Notamacropus eugenii: one gene and its partners. The protein of the gene in region 1 purifies or fractionates together with the protein of each later gene. This does not show direct contact. Links are inferred from orthologs where the notes say so. Each region holds a gene or a part of one and is shown in the gene's direction. Other genes may lie near its edges. The genes, in order: VDAC1, UQCRC2, RAB2A and BCAP31.

Region 1 (7,067 bases):
CAATTTACTGGTCTCTGTGCTAGTGACTTGGCCAGTCTTATTGCCTTAAAGAATGTTAGCCTAGAGGGCATCTATTTTACATATCCCTTGTATTCCCTAGTTCTCTTGCTTATCTCACTATTTCAGAGAGACAGCAACTTGGGAGGGGGACCTGGAGAGCCATTCTGGATGATAATGAGCACAGTCTTAAAGAATAGGTTCCCTGAAGTTCTATCCTGAACTTTGCCAACAGCACTCCATCCTAGCCCTCAACACAAAATCGCTAAATTTCTAAGAATTAGAGCAATTTAAAAGCAGACTAAGAGGACTGCCGATGTATAGGAGTTTGATCCAGGGGTGACAGACTTTTCTTTACTAGAAATATTTAAGTAGGGATTGGTTGATTACTTGTCAGGGATGCTGTAGAGAGAATTCTTAGTCAGGATGGTCTTTGAGGTTTCTTTCAATTCAGTGTCTCTGATTCTGAGGTTTTTTTTTTTATGTAGGGAATTCAATAGACAAATACTAGGAGGTAGGCTATTCCTAAGTTAAGGAATAGCCTAAGCAAAAGTACAGTAGTTTGAGAGAAGGCCACAATGTCTGGGCAGAAAGTAGTAAAATTTAGTTATAGTGCACTCATTTATTTCATGGTTCATAGGATATGGAGATGGAAATGACCAAAGAGATAATCTATTCTAATCCTTTTATAGATGATGGAGGAAACTAGCCGAGAGAGAGTGTATTAAGCCAGATTAGAATGTAGATCTTCTGACTTCAAATCCAGTGTTTGCACTAAAGTTGAGTGTCTAAACCAACCCTTCATCAGCTGATATACAGGTATATGCTTATTCTCTCAAATCCTAAAACAATAAGAATTTCCCAGAAAGGAAGGGTCTTGCCCAAGGTCACTGATCTAGGCTAGAGTCAGTCTAGGTAATGAAAAGTCATGGATAAAGAGTCCATGACATTTTTTCAAAAAAGCCCTCTTTGTCATAGTGTGTATCAGGAGTGGCCAGGTCAATCTACCTCCATTACAGGTACATTAATATATATAAAGCACTTTTCTAATAACCCTGCAAGGCATGAGGCAGGCATTGCAAATATAATTATTGCTATTTTACAGATGAGAAACCTGAATTCCAGACAGAGGAAATGATTTGTCCAGAACTGTCCAGGGTAAGCATCAAACACAGGTCTTCTCACACTACCTCCACTGCTATACCATACTGTATGGTATGGCACTTTAAGAGATAGAAATTTGATTTCAGCTTTAGGCAGTGCCTGGAGGTCAAAGAATGAAGATTGTGCTGTTGACTGTTAAGAGTGACTGGGTGGCAAAGAAATGGAAATTGTGGGGAATGCCCATCAATTGGGGAATGGCTGTAGCACATGAATGTAACAGAACACTACTGTGCTATAAGAAATGATGAGCAGGCAGATTTCAGAAAACCTGGAAAGACTTTGAACTGATGCTGAAGAAAGCAAGCAATCAGGAGAATATTGTACATAGTTACAGCAACGATGTTTGATGATTAACTTTGATAGAATTATCTCTTGTCAGCAATACAATGATCCAAGACAATTTCAAAAGATTCATAATGGAAAATGTTATCTACCTCCAGAGAAAGAACTAAGGAGTTTGAATGCAGATTGAAGCATACTATTTTCACTTTTGTGTGGGGTTTTGGATTCTTTTTTCCTTTTTGTTCTGTTTCTTCTTTCAAAACATGACTAATGTGGAAATAGGTTTAACATAAATGCACACAGATAACCTACATCAGATTGCTTGCTCTTTAGGGGACGGGAGAAGGGAAAGAGGAGGGAGGCAAAATTGGAACTTAAAATCTTACAAAAATGAATGTTGAAAACTATCTTTACATGCAATTGGAAAAAACAAAATATTATTTACAAAAAAAAAAAAAGTGACCAGGAAACAAGAGACCTAGGTTCTAGTCCCAACTAATTCTCTCCTCATTGTCTCAATTTCTGTGATGGCAATCAAATTAGGATCTTTTGCTGTTTTTATTTTACTAAAATGATGTGATTAAAGAACATCTTCTTCATCCGTTGATGGGCCTGCCCTTAGAGGGAAGCTTGATTAGGGGAGTTGTTTTGTAGGAAGGTCCCAAATACCTTTTGTTTTCTCTATTGAGGCACTGGATCAGCGGGTTATGCCCTCTGGCTCTGAAAAGTGTGTATAAATATTCTGAAGGTAAGGTTTTATTTTGCAGCTTACTGACTAGAAGTGTTTGTTTGGCCAGAGGAGGACTCTGGGAAGCAGCTAAGGAGTCCTTCTCCCTCCCGCTTTGAGAAACCCAGATGTTCCCTCTCTGGTAAAAATGTGTATATGTTAATGGGCAGACATTTTAGAAGCATGTGTGCTGACTTTTGATTTCTTAGTATTTTTTCTGAAGTTCAGGTGCTGACTTTTTCTCCTGAACTAACTGAATGATACATTTGCTTGATTAAAATGATTGTTAACCCCTCAAAGGTTGCCTTTCCCTTTAGAGAAGCAGATCAAAGAACCTGTGGTAGCAGGCCCCACTGTATATATTTCGGTGCTTACTGATACAGTTTCCCCATCATCATTCTTGTTCTGGTATTCTGTGGATCTATGATTGTTTGAGTAAGAGGGAGCCAGGATAGAAACAAGAAACATTATAATTTAATCTTTGTGATAGCAAAGAAGAGATACTATTTCTACCTCTTGCGTTAGAGATAGAAGATACATTGTAGAGATATTCTCTGTGTAATTCTGTTAGATAAAATGGAGCATTTAGATGCTTCTGTGATTCATTCCAAGTTGTCCTAGATTCTTGGGTTATTTCCCCCTCCCACCTTCACTACCAGTACAATAAGGAAATATAAAATGTCAGTTATTATTACTGTTGTTATCCCTGTACTTTCTACATATATATCTTAAGTCCTGGGACATGATTACTGATGTTCAGAACCTGCAGTCTCAATAGGTTTTTACAAGGCAAAGAAGGGTTCATTGATCTTGTCTCAGATTGGAGCCCAAAGGCAGAGCCATGGTTTCTGGCTCAATCTCAGTGATTTTTCAATGACGCCAACCCCTCCTAAGTTATGAAGAGTCTAGTTCTTGGAACTACAAGATAAGGAACCCAAATAGCCCCTTAGTCACAGGGTATGTCAAGTCAGCACCTGGTGAAGCACAGGGCAAAAGTATATGGTCACATATGGTATATGTGACCAATTGTGATTGGCCACATTTATGGTTATTTTGTCTGTCCTCAGATATGCCAACCCTAGCACAACTTAATTTGGTTTCCAAAGGTGGAACATGAAATTGTCAAAGAACAAAACAAACAGGAGAGATCAAGAATTAGGCTTGTGGCTCAGAATCCTGAGAGGTTCCTGGGAGAACTGAGCTCAGATTTAGAGCTAGAAAGAACCTTAGGTGTCATCTAGGCTGAATCTCCATTTTCAACCACGTTGAAACTGAGGTCCAGTGAGGATTAGTGATTTGTGCAAAGTCATACAGGTAAGCAAATAACAGTTCAGATTTGAATAGTGATTTTCAACCTACTGCTTTTTCTCTGTTTATTAAGTGTGACTGATTTCTTTTAGATCTAAAATTGTGGACCTAGGATAAAGTATGTTGCTTACTAATAGAGGCAGTTCGGAGTGGTAGAAAGAGCTTTTGGACTGAAGGATACTTGATCGGAGAATTGGATTGGAAAAAAAGGCTCCGCCACTCACTAGCTTTAAAACCTTAGGCAAGACTTCTAACTAACTTCTCTGAGCTTAATCTATAAAATGGAGGATAATAATCCTTGCCTGTCTACCACATGGAGTTGTAAGGAAAGTCCTCTGTAAAATGCAAAGTGCTGTGGAAATGGGAGCAGAGCAGAAGAGCCCATAGGTTCAAGGGCAGACACAGAAGTGCATACACGTCGAAAGCAGCCATTCTAAACAAGCCACAAGAGGCAGGAGACAGATGGAGAAAGGAAACTGGGAGGGGGGAAGGACAGGGAGAGGGGGAAGGGAAGCAAGGGTGGGGACAAGAGCAGCGGAGGGAGGCGGGAAAGGAAAAATGGAAGAAGGGGAGGAGATTGACTCGGAGCCCGGAGGAGCCCGCACCCGGGGGCGGGCTCGCGCCGCCGCCGTGCTCCGCGCCCCGCCCCGCTCCCCCGCAGCCTCTGCCGCCCCTTTGCCTCTGTGTCCGCCGCCCTCTGCTGCTCCCGCTGCGTTCGCCGGGAGAGGAAGGTAGGGACCCCCCCCCCCAAAAAGCCCTCTATCCCCCCAGCTTCCCTTCTGTGCCCCGGAGGCGTCAAGGCTGGGGCACAGATCGGCGGAGGCTGCTTGATTTCGTGCGGAGCTGCTGCTGCGCCTACCCTGGCCACTGCCCGGGCGACCTGGCCTAGAGCCTGACCCTGAGGTCTGGGGCGGGGGCCCTCGGGCGCAGCCTAGCAGGGCACAACCCAACCCGACCCGGCCGGGATGTGGGGGCGCGCCGAATGAGTGGGGCTGCGGTGGCCGAACCGGACTGACCGCGCTGCACTGTCACCGCTGCCCTCTTGGGAGCCCTGGCCCGGGGTAGGGGGGGCCCTGCTGGCGCCCCGCTTTTTGGCCCCCTCAGCCTCGCGCCCGTGCTCCCCGAGACCCTGCCTGGGGCTGCGCGGGCTAGGGGCCTGCGCTGGGGAGGGAAGCTGGCAGGCCCGGGCGCAGCGCCACGCAGCGCTGCTGGGGACGTGACCTTCCCGGCCGGGAGCTGCGGGGCCGCGTGTGCGGACCGTGTTGCCGGTCGGGCCGGAGGCAGCCCCTGGACCCCCGCACTCTCACCGCCTTGGCTTCCCTCTCTAGTGCACATCCCCAGCCGCGGGCACCCAAACTCCACCTGCGCCTGGCTTCCACCCGGGCCTCACCCGGTGGATAGAGACCCCTAGTCTCCCCACTTTGACTTCGCACTGTCGCCCACTTTTTGGCCTTCTATTAAAACATGCCCACAGGGTTAATTGGTGTTTGGTTGGCGCTGCTTTCTCGAAGACTGTCCCTGGATAGCAGCGGCCCTTGACAGCGGCCCAGCCACACAGACAGCAGGCCACATGGCCTACGGTGAGACCGGGTGCAATTCTACCTTTGTGGAAACAGAAATACCTTCGCTCGCAAATTATTCTGTGTTAGGAAGAGAAGGGATCCTAGAGATAATGGGTTTTAATCCCCATTTTGGTCCCAGATGATGAAACTGAGACCCAAGAAGGAAAAAGAATTGGCCCAAGGTCACACTGTTCTGAGCGAGACGGAGTCTCCAGCTTGAGTCTCCTGGCTCCCTGTGCCGGGATATTTGCATTATCGAAATCTTGTTTTCCTTGTGCCTAACGTGATTGTTCTTCTGTGAAACACGTCCCTAGAATTATCAGGGAAGATTTGCTCAAATAAATATTCTAGCATTTTCTAGATTTGTGAATTAGTTACATAGTTGCTATTAACCTCGGCCATTCACTGAGGTGAATAATTAGAGGAGTGAGAAATAAATGTTCAAGGGGAAATGACTCTACTCGAAACCACATTCTCCCCGCCCCCTCTCCCCCCAGCTTAATGAGGATAACCTATTAGAGTGATAACTGCTGGGTGGCTGGAAGAAATAGCTCAGATCTGCTGGCTGCAGCTGTTAGAATTGCTAAAAGCCCCCAAAAGTCCTTTGAAATACATTTTTAAAAGTCATTTGGTGTCTCCATGAGGGAGTCTTAACCATGGTCGCTCCCTTCTCTTCTCTCTCCAATCTAAAGGGGAAAAGAGGTTTGCACAAATAACTAATGCAAGAAAGAAAAGGATAGGAGGAGGGTGTGTGAATGAGTGTCTTGTGCACTTAGAAAAATACTTCTGGTCTCCTCTTTATCCCAAATATACTTTCCATGGGAAATTGAAAATTAATTATTGCTTGGTCAAAGTCATTTACATATTGGTGGGTGTGGTCAGAAACTTTTTAAAAAAATCTGCCTGCCTTAAATTAGTCTGGGCTCTGTCACTAGCTCACTTTATGACCTTGAATAAGTCCCCTCTCTGGACCTCAGCCAGGGCGTTGGACTTTGTGATATTTAAGGTCTTTTTCTACTCTGATACCTCATGACTCTGAATACCTCCTTATATTTTAGTGTTAGTGATGTAGTGATACACATCCCTCCTCACAATTTTTGACGACTTGGCAGGATCCATGATGCACCAGTTTCTCTTAGATGAGCCTTTGGTTGTGAGTGGGTCAGTTCCTAACCCATTGCTTAGCTCTGAGCTAATAATATTATAGTTAACAAAGATTAAGTATGCATTCCTGAATGAGATGCCAAGAACCAAAGTTCTGTTCAAGAATAGATTACATATTTTTTCCCCCATCATGACATTGTCTCTTTAAACAAAGTGAAACACCAATTCCCCTGACTTTCACAGGCCCCAGCCAAGATTGGGGAACTGATGATACTTGCAAAAGGCTAGTGAGTTTGTTTTAGCCCACTCGTGTACACTTGGAAATCTTTCAGCCTCCCCCTGGATGGCCTAGCAACTTTCGACTGAGTCATCCAAAAACTGAGCATCCAGGTTTTCAAAATTCCTTTGTCTTTATTTCTTTTTTTTATTTTATCTTTTCCTTAATCCTGTTACATAGCATATTATTGTTTCCTCTGCATGTAGAGGGTAAGCAATTTGCCCCAAATCTCATAGCAAGTTTGCAGCAGAGCCAAGACTAGGAATCTGGTCTTCTAAGTGCCAGTTAATGCATTTTTTGCTTTACTGTGTTACTAACTTAAATCTTTTCTAAAAATGCTCTCAGTGTCTAATCAGAACTGTATTTGAATGTTATGATCCTATAATTTTGATAGAATCTTGTAAAACTTGTGCAAAGCCTCATTTTGCTCTTTGGTGACTGTTGGAGAAGATGCTTCATCATCAGCATCACCCTCTGTATTCTTCCCGCAATTCCACATCCAAGTGACAAATCAGAATGGAGGGCATCAAACCAGTGAATTATCAGATATTTGCAATTTCCCCTGACCACCTCTTTGTAGGCAGGAAAGGCATATCTTCATAAGAGTTTCTTCCCAAAAAGTCCACTGTAGGCTTATAAATGTGTT
Region 2 (7,356 bases), on another chromosome or scaffold:
CAGTCCAGCATGGGCCACATCAGCAGAGACCAGCTGAAGCAGGTCTCAAGGGACTGAATCATTGGCAGCTGTGGCTGTTTTTAGAGTTCTCAACTCACAAATGTCAAAAAGGTCAGTGGAAAACTCTGTGGGATTTGGGTGAAAGAAGAGCACATGGTCTGGCCAGGTCCAGCCCCAATCCCAGCAGTGGCACCAGAGGCAGCAGTGGCAGCAACAGGAGAGGCTGCTTTAGGAACTCTGAGACAACAGACAGTGGGGGATCAAGTGGCTGATACAAAATCCCTGAAGCCTGGGAGAGTACACCCACACCCACACCCACACCCATACCCACACCCGCACCCACACACACTGGAAATAGAATACTACCTTGACAAAGAGTTAGAAAGTAAATGTTTGGCTGGGAAGATAAGTAAACATTATAAATGAACTCAGACTATAGAATCTTACTTTTGTGACAAGATTAGGGCATACAAACAGAGGAGGACAGCAGAGTCAAAGCTCAACATCAAAAGCCTCCAAGAGGAATATGAATTGGTCACAGACCATGGAGGAGCTCAAAAAGGATTTTGAAAATCAAGTAAGAGAAGTAGATGAAAAATGGGGAAGAGAATGAGAGTGATGCAGGAAAATCATGAAAAATGTCAACAGCTTGCTAAAGGAGACCCAACAAATACTGAAGAAAATAACACATTAAAAAAATAGACTAACCCAAATGGCAAAAGAGGTCCAAAAAGCCAATGAGGAGAAAAATGTCTTAAAAAGCAGAATTGCCCAAATGAAAAGGGAGGACCAAAAGCTCCCTGAAGAAAATACTTCCTTCAAAATTAGAATGGAGCAAATGGAAGCTAATGACTTTACGAGAAATCAATAAATTATAAAACAGAACCAAAAGAATGAAAAATAGAAGACAATGTGAAATATCTCATTGGAAAAAGAACTGACCTGGAAAATAGTTCCAGGAGAGATAATTTAAAAATTATTGGACTACCTGAAAGTCATGATCAAAAAAGAACCTGGACATCATCTTTCAAGAAATTATCAAGGAAAACTGCCCTGATATTCTAGAACAAGAGGGTAAAATAGATATTGAAAGAATACACTTATTGCCTCTAAAGAGAGACCCTAAAAGGAAATCTCCTAGGAATATTGTAGCCAAATTCCAGAGTTTCCAGGTCAAGGAGAAAATATTACAAGCAGCCAGAAAGAAACAATTCAAGTACTGCGGAAATACAATCAGGAAAACACAAGATCTAGCAGCTTCTACATTTAAGGGATTGAAGGGCTTAGAATATATTCCAGAGGTCAGATGAGCTAGGATTAAAATCAAGAATCACCTACCCAGAAAAACTGAGTATAATGCTTCAGAGGAAAAAAAATGGTCATTCAATGAAATAGGGGATCTTCAAGCATTCTTGATAAAAAGACCAGAGCTGTATAGAAAATCTGACTTTCAAAGACAAGAATCAAAAGAAGCATGAAAAGGTAAACAGGAAAGAGAAATCATAAGACACTTATTAAAGTTGAACTGTTTACATTCCTACATGGAAAGATGATATTTGTAATTCATGAGACCTTTCTCAGTATTGGGTAGTTGGAGGAGATAGATAGATAGATAGATAGATAGATAGATAGATAGATAGATAGATAGATAGATAGATAGATAGATAGGCAGGCAGGCAGGCAGACAGATAGACAGACAGACAGATAGATAGATAGATAGATGGGACAAGGTAAGTTTAATATGAAGGGATGATATCTAAAAAATAAAATTAAGGGGTGAGAGAGGTATATATTGGGAAAAGGAGAAAGGTAGAGATGGGATGGAGTAAATTATCTCACATAAAAGAGGCAAGAAAAAGGTTTCACAATGGAGGGGAAGAGGGGAGAAGTGAGAAGAGAATAACAAACACACTCAATGGGGTATCTTACCCTACAGGAAAGTAGGGAGGAAAAGGATAAGAAGGAGGGGATGATAGAAGGGAGGAAAGATTGGGGGAGGGAGTGGTCAGAAGCAAATACTTTAGAAGGACAGGGTCACAGGAGAAAATAGAATAATTGGTGGGGGGACGATAGGATAGAGAGAAATATTGTCTTTCCCAACATGACTATTAATGGAGGTGTTTTGCATAACTACACATGTATATATATTGAATTGCTTGAGTTCTCAATGAGGGTGGGTGGGGAAGCAAGAAGAGAGAGAATTTGGAACTCAAAGCTTTAAAAAACAAATGTTAAAAAATTGTTTTTACATGTAACTAGGAAATAAGATATACAGGCAATGGGGTATAAAAATCTATCTTGCCCTTCAAGAAAATAAAAGAGAAAAGAATAAGAAAGGGGCATGATAAAAGGGAGGGCAGCCTGGGGGAAGGGGTAATCAGAATGCATGCCATCTTGGGGTGCAGGGAGGGGAGAAATGGAGAGAAAATTTGGAACTCAAAATCTTTAGAAATGAATGTTGAAAACTAAAAATAAATTATTTTTTTTAAAAAAGATAGAGTTTTGCTTTCATGAGAATCTTAAAGTCAGTAAATGAGCTCTGCAGTTTCCCAAGGGCATTTTAGGCCATTTTCTTACTCTTTTTCAAATCTGAATGCAGCCCACTGACTATCAGTACTACCTTTCCCAAATATACATACTGTTGAACAAGTTCTATAGGGTATCATCCAACTGCTTGTTGAAATTTGGGCAAGACATTCTTCATCTACTGTCTTTTCTGGGTGTTTAGACAGGACAAACTCCTTTGTGTAATTTGACATAAGGACAGAAGATGGGCATTTATTAAGTGTTTACCATGTGTCAGGCATGATGCTAAGCACTGGGAATACAACAGCAAGAAAACAAGATGGTCCCTGTTTTCAGGGAGTTTTTGTTGTTCTTCAGTTGTTTTCAGATTTATCTGACTCTTCATGATTCCATTTGGGGTTTTCTTGGAAGAGATCCAGAGGGGTTTGCCACTTCCTTTTCCAGCACATTTTCCAGATGAGGAAACTGAAGCAAACAGGACTAAGTGGCTTGCCCAGAGTCACACAAGCTAGTAAGTGTCTTAGGTCACAACTGAACTCAGGAAGATGAGTCCTCTGGACTCTAGGCCCAGCACTCTATCCACTCACCACTTAGCTGCCCTTCAGGGAGCTTACAGTCTAATAAAGGAAGATAGGAAATAAAAGGGCACTGAAAAGTAGCTGAGGAAGGGTGGGAAGGTATCACGTGGGGACCACAGAATGAGCTGGAGATGCAGAACGCATATCTAAAGATCCTTTCCTAGAAGCTCTGCAGCGTCCTGGGGCTTGAGGTAATCAGCAGAATGTCATCCAAAAACAGGATCCCTTTTCAACTTGGACTTCACCCTGGATCTCCTCCATCGCAGCGGCGGCTACCTTTGGCAAACACGGATCTCCCTTTTGTATGCCTCACCTGATATTTCTTACCAGAGAGCCATCAAAAAGGATTATCTGCCACATCATCTCCTATGGGTTCAGTGATCATCTCTAGGAGAAGATTCTCAGAACCATACAACAAATCCTACTAGTCTCTCCTGGGCTAGAATCCTACATCTTCAAATGCGTCTTCCGCATCTCAGAGTGGGTTTCTCACAGGCACCTCAGACTCAACACGTCCTACAGAACTTACTGTCTTGCAAATGAAGGCACCTTCCTCCTCTCCGCCACTCACTCGGGCTGGCAGCCGTGGCTACCTATATCCATTCCGTAGGATACGCGTCTGGACATTTCGGACCTCACAGCTCCCATGTGCCTGCCCACCCTTGCTCAGTCCCTCTCCGCTTCTCACCTAGACTACTGCAGTCACTTCCCAGCTGGCTCGTGGGCTTCACTGTCCACTCCAATCTATCCTCCACACAGCTGCCAAGGACCATGTCACTCAAGAAACTCCAGGGGCTCCCTAATACCGCCATGGTCAAGTAGAAAGTCCTCTGGCACTCCAAGCTCTCCAGCCTGAACCCTTCCCACCTTTCCCAACAGTTTATTCCCCTCTGGACTGCATTCTGCCACCCAGCCACACTGGCCTCCCTGCAGTTCTTGAAAACAGCATTCTGTGCTGTCTGCCATGCCTGGAATGAACTGCCTCCTCATCTCTGCCTTTTAGTTTGCCTGGCTTCTACAGGACATGCGCACAGCAAGCACTTAGCCCGCGCCCGTCCAATTTAACCAAAGGCTTAACTCGAAGAACTCTCTGACCTCTCCTTCTGCTTGAAGATGAGCCCGCCCTCAACCTGCCCACGTGGTAAAAGTGGGGGGGAACGTAGAGGAGGCGGGGCCCAGAGGCTCTAAGGAGCTGATTGGTGCCCATGGCAAGAAGAATCCAAGTTGGCAGTGGGGGAAGTCGTTACTACCGGTTTTACCCTTCATCCAGTCGTGAAGGGATAAGGAAAATGTCACCTAGCAAAATGAACGTGGGCTAATATTAAAGTATTTTTTAATGGAAGTCTTGAAATTTACAGGCAGTGGTAAAAAGGGAATCGGCATAAGAAATGAAGGCCTCCCCCAGCTGCGCAGGGCGTGACTAAACGCCTCTTCCGGCCCCCCCGCCCCGGGCTAGAAGCAGTAGAGAGCGCTCGGTGAAGAGAGGCCTCCCGGAGGGAGCGCGAGGCATTCTGGGAAACGGAGGTCCTCCGCCTCCATCTTGCTTTCTCTAATCCCTGTCAGTACGGGGTCACGAGTGAGTCGGGGCCATGAAGCTGCTAACAGGCGCTGGATCTCTCTCGGTGAGCGCAGCCGGCTTGGCGGAGGGCGTGACGGGCTTCCAGGGGAGGGAAGGGGGCTGGTGTGGTCGCCTGGCTCGGGTTCCTCCGTCAGGCTTCCCCGTTCTCCCCTTGTCCTTCAGCTGAACCCTACGGAGGGAGCAGGCGGCCGGGTCCGGGGCGGCTGGGGGTGACGGCTCTGTCCCCTGGGAGCCGAGCGGAGGCCCGGGTCGCCCCTTCCCGAAGGACTGAGGGGACACCAGTGAAGGTCATGCTTGTGACCCCGCTCCGTGGGCGGGGAGGGTCGGAGCCACACCCTCCGCTCGAACCCCTGAGGGTGAAAGCGGGGACTTGGGGTAAAGACCCTCCTCGAGGATTCTGGGTGGGCTGTGCAGAAAAAGGCCTCCTCCGGGTCCGCACCCCAGCCTTCCTGCAAAGCGGGGAAATGCTTCGGGGCCCGGGGCAGCAGCCTCCCCTCCCCCGCCCCGAGCCTTCCCCGCTTGTTTAGGGGGGAGGTCCACGTGTCATCCGCCCTCCGGCTCCCCGGACCCGGGGCCTCTCCTGTCTGGGGTGGCTGTTCAGTGAAATGGTGGGAGATCGGTTTTTATTGAGGTCTGAAGTCTGGTTACAGAGGGTCCCTGGGCCCTAGTGCTTTGTGAACCACAGAGCGCCATAAAAAGCGAGTTATTGTTTTCATTTCATGCAAGTTTATTTTTATGGAATCCAGTGGTTTCCATTTGAGGAGAAGGAACTTTGGAGCCAAGAATTGAAACATTTGAATTATAATTGTACGGAATAACGACTTAGAGGGTGTGTTGGGGGGGTTGGGGAAGGGGGCGCAGGGGTTATAGGATAGCTGCAGCAAAGTATAACCGTGTATATGTTACGTATATATACCCTTGTATCACCGGTATGCATAGCGTTGCCCAGTCTTGGGTGATCGAGCCCCAAAGGGATTTTACAGGGCCATGTAGATAGGGGTTATTACAGGACACAGTAAAGGATAAACATACAATTGATTACCTTAGGAAATTATGTAAGCAACAGATATAAAAACAGATGGATTGAACTAAATGACATTTAAGCCCCCTTCTAAGAGCTCCTACTGAAAATATTAGATAGAAGGTCCTTGACGACTTCAATTCCAGAGGCTCTCTGAATGCAGATTTCTTTTGCTCCATGCATATCACTTCTTCAGATGTTAATGTCTCCTCAGCCTAGAATGCTGGCACTCTTCTGTATTTTTCGGGACCATCATACCTCTTTTGATATCCTTTGCCTTTTCTACCCAATCTGAACCCCTAGCTAACTTATTGCAATAATATTTTCACTAAGAATCTAACATCCCTGGGACCCTTGACCTTATGTTGTCCCTTTGTGATCTGAAGGGAATTTCTGTCAAACCCTTTCCCTGAAGCAGCCACTGAAGATTGGTAGTGGTGAAAGTAATAAAACCATACAAATTGTTTCTACTATAAATCAGTACTATTTAGTTGATGTGTCAGAGTGGAAATTGCACTGGACTGAGTGTCAGAATAACTAGTTTCCTATTCATGTTGTGCCATTGACTGTGGTTTCAGGCTCTGCACAAGATAATCTTTAAGGCTCTTTCTGTGTAAAATATTTTTATATGAATTTATCTTATATTTGTGGACCCTTATTTTAGGTGATAATCCTTTTACTCACCTTTTATTCTCTAATGCAGAAATATCCAACTGTGCCTAACCAAATAAAAAGGTAATTGGGAAATGTTTAACAAAAATAAAAATGCAGTACTGTGTAGGTAATGTTAATTTGTGGTTTTCTAGGTCAATATACTGCTCATAGGGATCGTAATCTGTTTTACATGACTGCTTTAACGTGTTCTCCAGAAGAGTGCTGTTTAAAAAAACAAACTACCTTTTCCCATTTTACTTAAGTCTCCTTTGCTTTCATGTAATGACCTTTTTTTTTTTGGTAACTGGATATAGAGCCATAGGCTCTATCTATATGGATAAAGAGCCATATTTTAGAACCCAGAGAAATTTTAGGCATTATCTACCTCTGCCCTCATGTTATAAATAAGGAAATGGAGACTGAGAGAGGTTTAAGTGACTTGCTCAAAGTCAAAGAAGAAACTAGTGACTGAGCCAGTCTGAGTCAAGTCAACAATAGCACCTTCCTCTTGGGATTAGCATGAAGATCAAATGAGATTAATGTATGTAAGACACTCTCTAAGACCCAGAGCACTAGAAAGAACTGGCACTATTATTCCTACTATATTGTGTTGTTCCCTCCTGAGTTATCAAATACTATTTAGATCTCTAGTTCTTTGAATACATATTGACTAAGGTGAATGAATGGAGACATTTATTTAGCTGTACAGAGCACTGCGCTAAGCACTAAGGATACAAATACAAAAGTAAGACTGGCCCTGTTCTCAGTCAAGTCACATTTGAATGAGGAAAGCAGTGCATTTCAGCTGCAAGTCTGAAATATCAAGGTCAGTGCCCTTAGGGTGCAAAGCAGATGGTTAATTCCTCTCCTCTAATGTCATTTCCATTGATAAAATCCTTTCTGATACCAAACTGTTTGATGATCCCATAGACTTTGATGGCAAGAATTTTCTTTTCTGGGTCTTCAGTGACAGTGGCTATAGCACCTACAGGAGTAAT
Region 3 (7,325 bases), on another chromosome or scaffold:
GAGGAAAAAAAACCTGAAAAATTTTAAATAATGAATTTTAAAGGATGCACAAAATATTTGCTATGAGATATTTACTGTTACTCATGCTTTTAGTTTCCAAAAATATTTTCTAAAGACTATGCAATAAAAACATTGCTATTTATGAATACTGTAGATAAGCAGTATGATGCAACTTTTCAAGAGTAAAACTATATTGAATTAAAAGGTAATTTAATAAGGTCCCTCTTGTTTATTTGCTCTCTGGAATAGTTGTTCTTTCTTCATTCTTGAAGATGATCATTGATATCAACAAAGTAATGTCTTGACTTTCCTGTGAATTACTTTTAAGTAAAATTCTCCCCTCAGAGTCATGGAAGTCTATAAGGTTAATGTAAGGTTAATGGTGGGTGGATGGGAAGAGTTAAAGATCTTCCTCACCCATTGATAGGCCTCAGATACCTTTGAGGAACTGGGTCACAAGGGTCATGCCCTCCAGTCCTGCAAAGGTTATATATATATATATATAACTCTGAGGTGAGGTTTTGCTTTTGGGGTTATTTTTTTGGAAGAAGGTTTGAGTGTCAGATGAGATTCTGGGTAGCTACTAAGGAGACCCCTGGCTTTGAAAACCCAGATATTGGTGCTTCCCCGTCTGATATCTATGTATGTATTGTCTATGGTCAGACAGTTGGAAGCCCTGCCTGTTGGTCTTTCTGTTTGTAATTTCTATTTGTATTTTCTCTAAATTTCAGGGTGTTGACTTTTCCCCCTTACCTAAGTGAATGATATATGTGTTTGATTAAAATTGATTGCTGACCCCTCAAAAGTTGCGTTCCTTTTAGAAAACCAGACCTAAGAACCTGTGCAGCAGGCCTTCCTGTGTATGCTAGGGTCCCTGCTGTTACGAAGTTCAGTAGCAAGATGAAAGTCAAGATGACTGACCATGGCCCTAGATGTGGTGGGTAACCTTGGCCTTTCTAAATTAAGGTCTTTCCCAGGTCCCAGTTTGTCTGAGGCAAAGCATTTTCAATGACTAAAGACTAGATAAAAATTGAGAGAAAAGATGACCTAATTTACCATCACAAAGATATCTGTCTGAGAGGGCATAGTAGTTATGTTCTTGTCTTAATGTGTAATTACTGTTTGAATGAACTAAACTTTTTTCTATTTTTTATTTAAATTATTTTATTTGTTTTCAATGTTCTATAATCATTTCCATATATCTTAGATTTTTTCCCCTCCTTCCCCTCTCCTTTCCCACTCCCTCCCTGATCTGACATACAATTTCATATTTATATTCCCATTAAATACATTTTCATCTTAATCATGTTGCATAGAAGAATTAAAATGAATGGGAGAAATCATTAAACAAAACAAAACATAATACAAAAGAAAATTGCTTCATTTTGCCATCCAATTCCATAGTTCTTTCTTGGGATCTGGAAAGTATTTTGCCTCAAGGGTCCATTGGGAATTTTTTAAGTCTTTTTATTGCAATGAGGTACTAAGTCTACTAGAAAAATTCCTTGCACACTGTGGTTGTTGCTGTGTACAAAGTTCTCCTGGTTCTGCTCCTTTCACTCAACATCAGTTCATATAGGTCCTTTCAGGCCTTTCTGAAGTCTTCCTGTTCATCATTTCTTATAGCACAATAGTATTCCATTACATTCATATACCACAATTTATTCAGCCATTCCCCAATTGATGGGCATCTTCTTGATTTCCAATTTTTGGCTACCACAAAGAGAGCTGCTATAAATATTTTTGTACATGTGGGACCCTTTCCCATTTTCATGATCTCTTGGGGATAGAGTCCTAGAAGTGGTATTGCTAAGTCAAAGGGTATGCACATTTTTGTAGCCCTTTGGGCATAGTTCCAAATTGCTCTCCAGAATGGCTGGATGGGCTCAAAGCTCCACCAACAACGAATTAGTGTTCCAACTCTCCCACATCTTCTCCAACATTTATCATCTTCCTGTTTTGTCATGTTAGCCAACCTGATAGGTGTAATATGGTACCTCAGAGTTGTTTTGATTTGCATCTCTCTAATCAATAGTGATTTAGAGCATTTTTTCATATGACTATAGATAGCTTTAATTTCTTCTTCTGAAAACTGCCTGTTCATATTCTTCAACCATTTATCAATTGGAGAATGACATATTCTTGTACATTTGACTCAGTTCTCTATATATTTTAGAAATGAGGCCTTTATCACAGATACTAGTTGCAAAAATTCTTTTCCAGTTTTCTGCTTCCCTCCTTATCTGCACTGGGTTTGTTTGTGCAAGAACTTTTCAATTTAATGTAATCAAAATTATCCATTTTGCACTTCATAATGTTTTCTATCTCTTGTTTAGTCAAAAATTGTTCCCTTCTCCATAAGTTTGATAAATATACTATTCCTTGCTCCACTAATTTATTTATACTGTCAGTCTTTATACCTAGATCATGTACTCATTTGGACTTTATTTTTGTGTACAGCATCAGGCATTGGTCTATGCCCTATCTCAGTATTCCCAGCAATTTTTGTTGAACAATGAGTTCTTATCCCAGAAGCTGGGGTACTTGGGTTTATCAAAAAATAGACTGCTGTATTCATTGACTACTGTGTCTTGAGTACCTAACCTATTCCACTGGTCTCTGCTGACTGAACTAAATTTTAATATCTCAAAACATGTTAATTTTGTGAGCAAGGTTACACAAAACACATTTTAATGTTCCTAAGGCAATTTTAAATCTATAAGACTCTCCATTTCAGTTTGACATATATGCAGGGTATTGAGGATTAAAAAGAGAAATCAACAGTTACTGCCCTTACAGAATTTCTATTCAGTTAAGATTACAATATGTACAGATATAAGTACACAGGAAGGAGAGATTACTTGAATATACAAGGGATGAGTAAAATTTTGCTCCAATATAAGGTGGTACCTATATTTAGTCTCAAATGAAGTAAGGGAACATAAGAGTTAGGAAGTGAATTCATTCTAAGCATGAAGGGCAATCTATAAGAGGGCAGACTACAGATGGAATGCCCAGATCTGGTTAAAGAACAGGTATTAGGAATGAAGACTATATGAGAGGAAGTGAAAAGGCAGATAGGACCTAGATTGTGATAGGCTTTAAGTGGGTAGCCTGACTTTATATATAGAAGCCAGGTTAGTCTTTGGGGTGCTCTCCTAGAAATCAATTTGTGAAGTAATGAGGATCTGACAATGGCGGTTGGGTGGGAGTTGTACCAGTGGAAAGTAGGGTATAATATGGGAGAGGTGGAATAAATAAGACCTGGCAACTGATGAAATGTGGAGGAGGGTAAGGGAATGGGCACAATTAAGGATACTTCTGAGGTTAGTAACCTGGGTAACAGCGTGGACCCCAGGAGAAATAATACAAACTGAAAGAAAGGAACAAGATTGACAAGATAAAGGATTCCTTTTCAGAGAATAATAGCTAACATTCCTATGGCGCTTTAAGGTTTGCAAAGCATCTTCCATATCTTAATTTCTTACCAGTCAGTATTCCAGAATCTATTCTTTTCCAGAAATCTCTTTTCCTGGAAGATCATGGCAACCCCAGAATCCCCACACTGAAAATATCCTCTACCTCTGTGGCCCTTCCCTGTGATTGGGTAAGAACAACTCTGTATTCCCTTCTCCTCTGGCTACCCCCTGCCCTCTCCCCAAACTTGGCTACCTGGACCTTCCTCCCCTTGATCTCTCCCTCCCCTTTCTGCTGCCTTTTATTTGTTGTCTGGCTCCCATTAGGATGTAAGCCCCCTGAGGGCAAAGGCTGGTTCTTCTCCACGCCTAGTTTTTGGACATTCCAGCTTTGGCATCCGATCTGGCACATGGTAACATGTAGCAATATCACACCGCTTGTCCATTGACAAGCGTAGAGCCTGACAGGCGCCTTCAGGGACCTCCGGATGAAGATGCCTAGCTGGCAGGTAGTGTCAGGGAACTGGTGCTCTGGAGATGGTAAGGATTTCTTTTTCACATTTTTCAACTGTTTTCCAAATGACCATTTGTTTCCTCCAACTATCACCAGAAAAGGTCTCAGACGTAGGTTTTGGGTTTTCCCCCCCACGAGCGCAGGGAACGCCCACCCACCTCGGAGCACGAACCGCCCGGCACGTCTGGTGTGCGCGTGCGCGAGACGCGCCCCTCCTCCAGTCCCCGCCCCCTCCCCCTCCGCCCGCTGTTCTTTCCAATCTGGGCTTGGCCGCACCCACTCCCTCCCTTCAGCTCCGCTCAGGGCCCCGCCCTCCGTAGCAGGGGGCGGGGGAACGGGCGGGGGAACGGGCGGGGGAGGGCGATCCTCCGGCGATCCGCCTCCGTTCCTCCGACTGCCGGCTCAGCGGCTGCTCTTCCGGGTCGAGGTCGGAGGGGGCTGGGCTGGGCAGCGAGGCTCATCTCGCCTCTGCCGGCGTCGTGTTGGCGTTTTCTCGGTTCCCTCGGCTTGCCGACTCCGCGCCGTCGCTGCCGCCGAGCTCCTCTTCTGGGCGGGCACGCCGGCGTCTGAGATCTTGATCAGGGCCGGGGTGAGGAGCCGCGGCTCGGGGGAGGAGGCGGAGGAGGAGCCGTGTGCCGGGGGCACGGAGCGGCCGCGGCCATGGCGTACGCCTATCTCTTCAAATACATCATCATCGGCGACACAGGTGAGTCGCCCGGCGACGGGTGGGCTGCGGCCCCCGGAGCCCCCCGTGCCGCGGGGCCGAGCGCGATTGGCGGCGGGTGCTTCCCTCCCCCGCCTCCGGCCTCTCCTCCACCCTTTCCCCTCCTCCCGCCGCGGCTCCATTTCCGCAGTGCTGGAGCCGGTGACGTGGGCACTGCGAGCGGCCTCTGCGGCCTGGCCTGCCGGGCCCCCGCCCAGCCCGGGCCCAGCCGCTCCAGGCCTCGGGCTCCGGGACGGCCACGTGTGACCCCCCGAGACCGCTGCCGCGGAGGGTTGGGCCAGGCCTGGAGCTCCCACCCACCCTCCCGCAGCCCCTCCCCCGGCCTGCGGGCAGGTAGAGGGGCCGGGCCGGGCCGGGAGGCTGTTGGCTGCTTGCGTATTTTTTACTTGGAAATCATCTTTCGTGACTTTAATGATGATGTCCCGGCTGCTACTGCAGTTCCTAGGCCGGGAAGGCTTTGGGCTTGCCTCCCCGAACAGGGAGTGCGATAACCTTTTACATCTCGCTTAAGGCAACAATGGTTTTGGCCTTAGAACCCTGGGAAAAAACCTTGTGAGGTCACCAGAGTGTCAAACTGGATCCTGAAGATCTTTCCTGATTGCTGACAAGTTACTGCAAACAGTTGCTATTGCCAGTTCTACAACTGTTTTGTTTTTACTTTTTGTATATCAATCCTATTAATGTGTTACAGGGATACTAGGATTTAGGAAATACACCATATCTTAGGTAATTAAGCCAGTTGTAGGGTTTTTTTTTTAAGTTTTTACATATCAATCCTATTAATGTGTAACATTGAAATACTAGGATTTGGGAAATATACCATGTTTTAGCTTTCTAAGCTAAATCCTAACTCACCGACTCCATAAAATTCCATTGGCTCCCTATCACCGGTAGGATCAAATAGAAAATCGTCTCTCTCTTGTTCAAAGCCCGTCCTAACCTGCCTGATCACCTACCTCTCTAGTTTTCTTACACCTTACTCTCTACTCCCCCACCCCCATACTCTGCTGTCTAGTGACACTGGCCTCCTTGAACAAAACACTTCATCTCCTGACCCTAGGTATTTTCACTGGCTGTCTCTTGGCTTGAATTCTCTCCCTTCTAGTCTTTGTCCCTTGGCTTCAAGTTCCATTTAAAATCTCACCTACAGGAAGTCTTTTCTGATCATCTTAATAGTCTTGCATGAATTCTTTCTGCATAAGATTTTGTTTGTATGTAGATTAGACTGAGCTCCTGGAGAGCAGAAACTAGGTCTTTTGTTTTTGCTTTCCTTTTATCCCTCATACCTAACACATAGGTGCTTAATATATGTTTGTTGACTGCTAAGTCCGTACTCTCTGTAAGGTGGTGTTGTCGTATTACCAAAGAAAAAGTTTCTACCCTTAAGGAACTTAGGTTCTCTTGGGTTAATCCAGGAGGTAATTTATGGGAGACCAGGCTTCCTTTTGAAGCAGCTAGAAACTTAAATGTTCTTAAAATTGTACCCCAGGATGTTAGATTTATTGTATCTGAAATCAGTTCACTTAATACTTTTTGTTTTGGTATACTGCTTTGAATCTAATAATAAAACAGCCTCATTCAGGTGTTAGTTAACTTGGTGTCACAACTTCAACTATTAATATACAAGAGTCTGATTTCATTGGTGACTCTTGCACAACTTTGGATATATTCTTGCAGTTGCCCCAAAGATGTGGCAGTACTTAATAGTACATTCACAAAAATCCCTTAATTGAATGACAAGAGACACTAAAACACTGGTAGAATCCGCATGTTCTTAAGGGATATGGGAAATAAATTGTTTTCAAGATAGTATGCTAGATAATTCAGTTTCCTGGACTTTTTATTTGGTAATACATACAAATTTCTAAATTTGCTATGGTACACCTGAGCATGAGAGGGGGTGGAGCTTAGACTGTTAGTCAAAGATAGTCTGTCCTAGTGGAAAGGGATAGGAACTGGGAATATGAGAAGTCTTTGAAAATAACATATTTTAGATAACCAAGTAATGAAAGTAAGGCAGTAAAGAGAGATGGCCACGTGGTTGCCTTTGGAGAAAAGGATCTGTCATTAGATGTTGTGGGTGGAATTTATCCAAAGCAGCCCCCAAGCATCCTGTTTATTCCCACCAAAATGTTTTCCTTTTTCTTGGTCATTTAGCTACTAAAGTCATGTGATTTTCATAAGGCACAGGTCTCATTGTGTCACTCTTTGAATCAGTAAACCTCAGTGGTCACCTTAAACTATATTTGACTTTTAAAGCCCTTCACAACCCTGGCCCTACGGACCTTTTGAACCTTGTTTGTGCATTATTCCCTTTTGAGCACCCTACAGTTCACCAAGATTCTGCAATCTCACTTCTTTGCCTTTCTTTGCATGGGCTGTGGGTGCCTCTGCCTGGAATGAACTCTCTCTCCCCACTGTAACCTCTTAGGATTCCTTGTTTTTTTTCAAACTGCCACTAAATGCCACCTTTTCTGAATGAGACCTTTTCCTGATTGGCTCCAGTGCTTCCCTTTTTTCCTATCATTACTTTGTGTGTATGTAGCATAAAAAACTAGTGCAGATATCACCTCTGACATTCTTTGTGGATGACCCTAAAAAAAGCCACTTAACCTCTCAGTTCCCTTGCTAAGGCTAAGCTGCAAAGATGTCAGTTTTCCTTGATTAAGGG
Region 4 (7,265 bases), on another chromosome or scaffold:
AGGCAAACACAGCTGGAGTCCAGTTGAGCCAATAGCTGTGTTGCTGTCCTGTGGCAAAACCTTTGATAAAGCCCATAAGTTCTCCTCCTCTAATTATCTGTGCTATAAATCCAGATTGTCATAGATTGGACTGTGTTTGCTGGGAGCAAGTTCTACCAGTAAAGGGATGAGTCTGCATTCTCTGAGCACACTTGAATCCAGAGTCCTGCTGGGCATAAGGGGATTCAATCCTGGTGGACAAAGTAGCTATGGGGTCTCTGCCAAGTAGCTCTCATTCAACGCTGTCTTCCAGGGCTCCCTTTCCTGGGGGAGCCTGGTGGGTGGGATCTGAAGTCCTATGCCCTATAGCTCAAAATCTTAAGGGAAGGCCAGAACACTCTTCATAGCTGCTCCCTCCGACTTCTCCAAAGGTGGAGCTTTTAAATACCTAACTCAGGAGGGTGGATATAATGCCGGCCCCCTCTTCATCCCTCCTACCCGATTACACACTTCCCCCACAAGCCACGTGTCACCTGCTGAACAAACATCGGGATAAAGGTTTCCCCAAATTACACAGCTTAGTACAAAGGAATCTTGGAGAAAGACCGTCCCCTTTAGGGCCCCTTCCCACTAAGAGCTCGAAGTGAAAGTACGTCAACAGGCAGAGGGACAGGGGAGATACCCATTCTGCAGCACAGGGTGAAAGTGAAACAAGGAGGTTGGCGCCTGCGCAATGAAGCCCCCAGCCCCAAGAAGGGAAGAGAAGGTGATAAAGAGAGCGTTGGCCCGGAGTAACCTCTCCCGGAGCCCCATGGTTATGCAGTTAAGGCAGAGGCTGATTCCACCCCGTTAGAACATTCCAGAGGCCCTAGCCACTGGCAGCGAAAACCATAACAGATCTTATTCCTGATCTTTTTGCCGGGGGCAGACTCTGCCAGGAGAAGGCTGATCCGGGAGCGGTCTCCCCGAGAGGACAGTGGGATTTGGCCAGGGTTGCGGAAGGGCGGACACCCTCCCTTGGTGGGGAAGCATGGGCAGGAAGTGGCCCATACCAGCCTAGTCCCCCGAGGGGCCCTGCTGGGGGTGGGAAAAATGAGCTCAAGATAGCCTTCAAGTATCCAATTCCCTAGCGGGGAAATAGGTATACAGTAGAGTGTGGGAGGAGGAAAGGATACAAGGGGAAAACTGGCAGCTGAGACCAGGACAAACAGGAGTTACACAACTTCCCCGTGATCTCTGTCGACTAGGTCTGTTATCTCAGCATCCCTTCATTCCCTCCTTTTCAAGGAAATGAGGAAGGGGGGTGGGGGAGAAGGCACGGGGCCCCAATCCGACTGAGAAACTTTGCAGGCAAGGAGCCATGTTGGTATTGGATCCTAGAGACGAGGAAGGAGGTCAGCAAAGACCTGACCCCTAATCCCAAATGGCCAGTCTTTGCTGGTGCCGCTTGTTAACCGAGCTTGGGTCTGAGTCATTCTTTGAACACCCCCGCCTTCCAGAGGCCCATCAGAGGGCTACCTGGGTTTCAACAACAGAGAATAGGGAGGGGTCAGACAATCAAGGAGCCGGGTCTTGATTCAACCAGCTCAAGTCACATGGCAAATGGCAGTTCTCCATTTCCCCCTTTCCCTGGCCCCAAGCTGCCCTCCTCCTTCCACTGGAACCAAAAACATCCCAGATTTCCCAAACTTTGAAAGCCCTGCATTCTGTGGTTCTGAGTGCCTCTGACTCTGCATTTCTTCTTCCCCACCCCTTAGCATGAAAGCCAAGAGCTTGGTCCTCAGAGAATACATTCCCAGTCCTTGGCATCTTCCCAGCTCAGTCATTAGGTTAGACAGACCCAGCCCTGGGACCTCGTAGGGCTCTGGGCAAAGAGAAACTTGCCCTAGAGCATGGAGGACTGGAAGAACCTCAAGGAACAAGGTTGGAGGGGGCCAGGGAGGCTCTCGGGTATGAAGATAGACAAGCAGAGACTTGAATGGGATGCTCTAGTCTGAAACCGCTAAGATTTTCTGGCAGCCAGTCTCGAGAACAAAATAAACAGAAGTGTCAAAGAAAGCAGCAGTTTGTAATTTAGATGGAGCTGGGAGAGAACCCCTCACCATCATGATCTTCCCCTGTGCTACCCCCAGGGACACTTCCCCTACACACACACACACACACACACACACACACACACACACACACACACACACACACACACACAACATACTCCTACATCAATCTCCAACCTTTCCTGAAACCTCCCTTTTTTTCACCCGACCGCAAAGTCTGAACCCCCACCTCCCCATTAGGTTCCTCTTCCACCACTAACCCCAATACCCCTCCCCCCTTTCCTTCCTCATTTCTGCCACCAACTCCTTGGACAACTGAAGCCTTTCCCCAATGTGGGCCCTGTCTCCCCTGTCATCCTCCACATCCCCCATGGCTCCCCACCTCGTGGCCTCCGTAGAAGGCAATCTCCTCCGAGTTGGCCACCACTCTCGAGTGCATGTAGCGCAGTTCCCCTTTGCGGCGGGCCTCCTCGGCCACCAGCTCTCCGAATTTGGGGGAGCAGGCCCGAAGCACCTTGGCCGTGAGGAAGACCACCAGGCCTGCGATGGCCGACGGCCAGGATGTGCTGGCTCCCCGGGAGCGAGCTGTGCGCACCAGGGTGTACGAGGTCACTGCCACATCGAGCAAGGGCTTGGTCAGGTTGGAGTAGAGGTGGGCCACTGAGGCAGCGAAGGCTACCACGTCCTCAGTGAGGGACTGGTCAGGGTTGCGCAGGCGGCCGTCCATGTTGCTGACTCGGTAGTAGGTTTGCTGGCTGAAATAGAGGCGGTAAGCGTGCTCCACGAGGCGGCTGCGGAAGGCCAGCGCCAGGCGGCCCTCCAGGTAGCGGATGGCGCTGTTCACGAAGGTGGCGGGCAGCGCGATGAGCAACCACTGCAGCAGCTGCCAGCTGAAGGCCCGCGGCTGCTTGCGCACGATGCAGCGGGCCAGGCGGCCATCCAGGCGGGCCACGTACACGGACAGGAAGGTGCGGCTGACCAGCGCCGCCGTGTGCAGGCCCAGGAGCGCGGTCTCCCGGCACAGGACCTTGGGGAACAGGAGCCGCAGCAGCCACAGCAGCCGGCGCAAGAATTCGCGGTTGGCGCTGGCGCTGGTACTGCCGCTGGCGCCACTGCCCGTGGCCCCGGCGGCCGAAGAGCCCGAGGCGCTGCGGGCCTCCGCCTCGGCCCGGCCCGGGGGGCCCCGCGGGTGCGGCGTCACCAGGCACTGGCGGACCAGGGGGTAGATCTTGTGCGCCCCGTAGGCCGTCAGGGCCAGCACCACGGCCAGGCGCCGCAGGGAGGCCGCCCGGGAGGGCCGCGCCGTCGAGAGCACCTGCATGGCGCCCGCCTGGAAGGGTGGGCACCCGAGCTTCTAGCGGAGGCCGCGGAGGTTACCCGGGCAACTAAGGCCTTGCGGGCAGGCCCCTTAGGCCGTTTCCTAGGAAACCAGGGGTGCCACAGGGCATCCACTGAGGTGGTTGCCCTAGCAACCAAGCAGGTACCTGTCAATCTGGGTCTCTCTTTTGTCAATCTTGGGTCCCTCCTCTATGTCTCTGGCTCTTTTCAGTCTGTCTGTGTGTCAGTCACTCCTTTCTGTCTCTACACTTTTCCTCTCTCCAGTTTGTCTCTCCTCTCTCTGCTCTCTCCTCTCTGTCTCTATCTCTCCTCTTCACCCTCCTCAGTCAGTCAGTGATCCCTACCCCCAGACAGCCCCGTGGACCACGTAGGGTCAGGATTTGGGGTGGAGGGGGGCCGGGGAAGGGAGTGCTATCTTCTCTTCCTCCTCCTCTGTTTCTTCCTCCTCCTCCTCCTCCTCCTCCTCCTCCCAGGGCGCGGCCCCTCCCCAGGACAGCAAACTCGACCGCTCCTCAGCCAGACTGGAGCGACAGTGACTCCGCCACCGGCCCATAATCCCCACCCACCCCTCCCCGGGGGCGAGCGAGATGGGGAGGGGGGAGGAGGAGGAGGAGGAGGAGCTGCAGCTGCTTCGGCCGCCGCGGGCTACAGAGACCCCGCCCACCTCACGCTTCTAGCTACTCCCCGCCTCGCCTCCGAAATCATAGAGATATTGGAGGACTCAGTTGACTAGAGAGGCCATTTCCCACCCCTCCCACCCCCGGCTGGCCCCGCCCTCAGGGGTGTCGTCATCGGTAGAGAGCGCCCTCTGGCCCCTTTCCTGGGCATGCGCATTCCCGCACTCACGCTTTCCTACCTGCCCTCCGAGGCTGCTGTAGCAGTAGGTGGAAGCGGTGCGGTGGTTGGTGGAAGACTGCACAGGAGGCGGGGCCTGACCCTCCAACTTCCGATTTCCGGTCTGTGGACACAAGGCTGAGGGGCGGAATTTGGGTGGGAGAATACTGAGTTCGGGCACTCAAATCTTACGGCTGTGGTGCCGAGGCGCGCAGGTGAGAAGAGGGCGGGTCCGACCCGGCCAGGGGGCCAGCCAGAAGTTGAGGGGGGAGCCATGAACTAAGGGAAAGGACCCCCGTGAAGCTACCGGGCCCTGAAGGTGGCGGCCCCCTCGCTTCGGACGAGCGTGGAGCTGAAGACCGGAGAGGAGGGGGGACAGGGGACGTCCCGATGCCTGGGCGGGGAGGGGGTAGGGTACTGGGAGACGGCCGAGGCCGCGCAGGCGGTGGGGGTGGCTGCTGCCAAGGGAGCAGGACCCCTTCGGCCCCAGGGAGCGGAGCTAGGCCTGCGTCCTGGCATTGCCAGCTAACCAGATCTGTCGCAGAGTGCCGGGGAAAATTGGTCAGGAGGTGCATTTAGTGAGGGCGTGAGCGAAGGGTTTCTGCTGCATAGTCAGAGGGCCCTGATCAGGTTCCAACAGAGGGGTGGAGTAGGGTTACTTGTTTGGAGAGAAGGGGACCTTATTCTGGCCTATCTGGAAGACCTAGCCATTTCCAGATTCTCCTTTGCAGGGGCCCAAGTCATCTACTCCAATTAATTCATTTTACCAAATCTGTGCGAAGTGATTTGCAAAACTTTATATCTCCATGTAAATAGAGACTGCGGTTATTATCGTTATTAATTTGTTATTGTATTATACAAATTGGAAAAATAAAATAAAACCCGGCGAGATTAAATGGCCTACCCAGAGTCACTCAGGTGCCTGTTTTGGGAATCAAACACATCCTCTTTAGTGCTTTTCCCACCGGAAGTCAGTTAGTTTTGACTTCTGGCATCTCAAGATTCTACTTGGGTGCCTGGTTTAAGGGACATAGTAGTCCTGTGAATCACACTGTCTGTTCATGTGTTTGGGGCTTTTAAAACCCATACTCTGAAGACTTCAGTAAATTATGTAGTAGATTAATTTATTTACCAGAACCAAGGGGTCCCCTGGTCCTTTAGAAGTTGTTGATAGGTTCCCCCAGCTATGTTAATGTGGCTTAATTCACTTGCTTGTTTTAATTCCTGTTTGAAGGAACGTAGTATGGTTTTTAAAGCTGAGAAGAAGGATTGGTGAGGTATGGATCAGCACAGTTTCTTCAAGAATTTGTTGCTCATTGATCAGCTCCTCACCTCCACCCCTTTCTCATGGCCTGTGTTTCCTCAAATCTTTTCAGACATTTCAGAGGTTGGTCTATTCTGCCTCCAGGTCAAAACCAACTAGTGACTAAGGATGAGTCTTCAGTGGACTGCGGTTGCTACCTTCCTCTATGCAGAGGTCTTTGCTGTGCTGCTGCTCTGCATTCCTTTCATTTCTCCCAAAAGGTACAGCCTATTGAGTGATCAACTTCAGAGCTCAAGGTGCCTTTATGATGAATTGTGCAATGCTGAGCCCCATGACCTACGTGTATAGGTTTGGTGGCTAATTGATAGGACCTCCAGGGCTTCCCTAGTGGAATGATTCTTCATAAAGGGAGGCAGAGCCATCTGCTTTTCATATTTTTTAGATAAAGTGTTTCACCTACATGAAATCCTCCCAATTTCTCTTCCCATTCCCCTTTCACTTTTGGGTGTCTGCGGTGCAGCCAGGTTCCTAGGATGGAGGTGGATGTGGGAGGTTGGGGGTCCTTATGCAAGCTGATTCTCCTTAGTTCTAACACTTACCTAATACTTCTCTCCAGAAGTGTCAGTCTGTTGTAATTAAGCAATTGTCGGTCCAGGTGCACAGACTCCCCAGACTGGAAAGTTGAGAAAGTATCTGGGGCTGAGAGGGATCCCAGGGTACTTTGAGTATCTCCAGCTTCTGTTTCTTTCTCGTTAGATGGCAGAAGATCTTTAAGTCCCGCCTGGTGCAACTGGTGGTGAGCTATGGCAACACCTTCTTTGTGGTTCTCATTGTTATCCTGGTGCTGCTTCTCATTGGTGAGTGACAGAGATGTGGTCGTGGTGAGCAGTATCCCAAATAGGAACCTCTCACAATTCCATTTCTTCCATTTGTCTAATTTTCACAGTTGTGTCTCACCCCCCTTACCAGATTGTACATATCTTAGGCATCTGTCCTCTGATATTCTTCATAAACAGGGATGGCACTGTTGATCCATAGATGCTTTGGATGGTCTCCAGGATGCCTGGCCTTCGCATTAGTACCAGGTTCTAGCCACTGGTCCAACAGATCTGGACCCCAGACTTGAGCAAGCTTCTTCTGGTAACCACGTTTTAGGTACAGAGATTGAACAAGCTAGGCCCATTAAAAGTTGCAAAGGTAAACAGAGTCCCATTTTTTTGTATCCTTGAAGAGCCTATGTCAAAAGAAAGGCAAAAAAAAGTAAATTTCCCAACAGAATCAAGAAAAGCAATGAATGAGAGTAGAAAAAGCATTGGACTTGGGAGCTGATGTTGCCACTGGGACTAGAACCTAGATCACTTAACCCGCTTTGGGACTTGGAGCAAATCACACCCCACCTTGGGGTGAAGAAAATGTCACTGCTCCAAAAGAGCTTTAATGGCTTCTCTAACTGGTCTCAGGTTTCCCCGTTAGTCCAAGCAGGGAAGAACCTCCGTGCTGTAACAATAGTATGCCCCTATCCTACTTGTCTTCCTAGGGCTTGGCAGCTTAATTCACAAGATTCAAGGAGATGTGTCCAGGCAAGGTTGCATCTTAGCAAGATGGGTGTGACACATCAGTATTCAAACATGTGCAATGCCAGCTGCTTGTTTACCATACTGATGGCTATAGATTCACATTGACTTAGAAGTATTTTGTAAGGTAGCTGCTTTTAAGCAGGGTACTCTCACTACCAAGGTTTTGAGTCAGGTAGTGGCAAAAGAGTATCTCTGTTGTTCTTGGACCATTTTGAGACC

What was found.
Region 2: the proteins of VDAC1 (region 1) and UQCRC2 fractionate together in Homo sapiens (co-fractionation; 3 studies listed by BioGRID, with this or other methods). This does not show direct contact. The link is inferred for Notamacropus eugenii from reciprocal best matches to the Homo sapiens genes VDAC1 and UQCRC2.
Region 3: the proteins of VDAC1 (region 1) and RAB2A purify together in Homo sapiens (affinity purification with mass spectrometry; 3 studies listed by BioGRID and IntAct, with this or other methods). This does not show direct contact. The link is inferred for Notamacropus eugenii from reciprocal best matches to the Homo sapiens genes VDAC1 and RAB2A.
Region 4: the proteins of VDAC1 (region 1) and BCAP31 purify together in Homo sapiens (affinity purification with western blotting; 3 studies listed by BioGRID, with this or other methods). This does not show direct contact. The link is inferred for Notamacropus eugenii from reciprocal best matches to the Homo sapiens genes VDAC1 and BCAP31.

Annotation. Positions count from the first base shown.
Region 1 is NC_092872.1:341,433,427-341,440,493, forward strand, and holds the start of VDAC1 (non-selective voltage-gated ion channel VDAC1), read left to right. Parts: upstream 1-4,046; 5' UTR 4,047-4,209; intron 4,210-4,952; exon of another isoform or gene 4,953-5,058; intron 5,059-7,067. UniProt on the Homo sapiens protein: Non-selective voltage-gated ion channel that mediates the transport of anions and cations through the mitochondrion outer membrane and plasma membrane.
Region 2 is NC_092874.1:397,018,489-397,025,844, reverse strand, and holds the start of UQCRC2 (cytochrome b-c1 complex subunit 2, mitochondrial), read left to right. Parts: upstream 1-4,338; 5' UTR 4,339-4,693; coding exon 4,694-4,726; intron 4,727-7,356. UniProt on the Homo sapiens protein: Component of the ubiquinol-cytochrome c oxidoreductase, a multisubunit transmembrane complex that is part of the mitochondrial electron transport chain which drives oxidative phosphorylation.
Region 3 is NC_092875.1:279,689,615-279,696,939, forward strand, and holds the start of RAB2A (ras-related protein Rab-2A), read left to right. Parts: upstream 1-4,178; 5' UTR 4,179-4,590; coding exon 4,591-4,636; intron 4,637-7,325.
Region 4 is NC_092879.1:22,532,431-22,539,695, reverse strand, and holds the start of BCAP31 (B-cell receptor-associated protein 31), read left to right. Parts: upstream 1-4,184; 5' UTR 4,185-4,420; intron 4,421-5,581; 5' UTR 5,582-5,637; coding exon 5,638-5,729; intron 5,730-6,225; coding exon 6,226-6,326; intron 6,327-7,265. Other genes in the region: ABCD1 (ATP-binding cassette sub-family D member 1), read right to left, coding at 2,416-3,354. UniProt on the Homo sapiens protein: Functions as a chaperone protein. Is one of the most abundant endoplasmic reticulum (ER) proteins.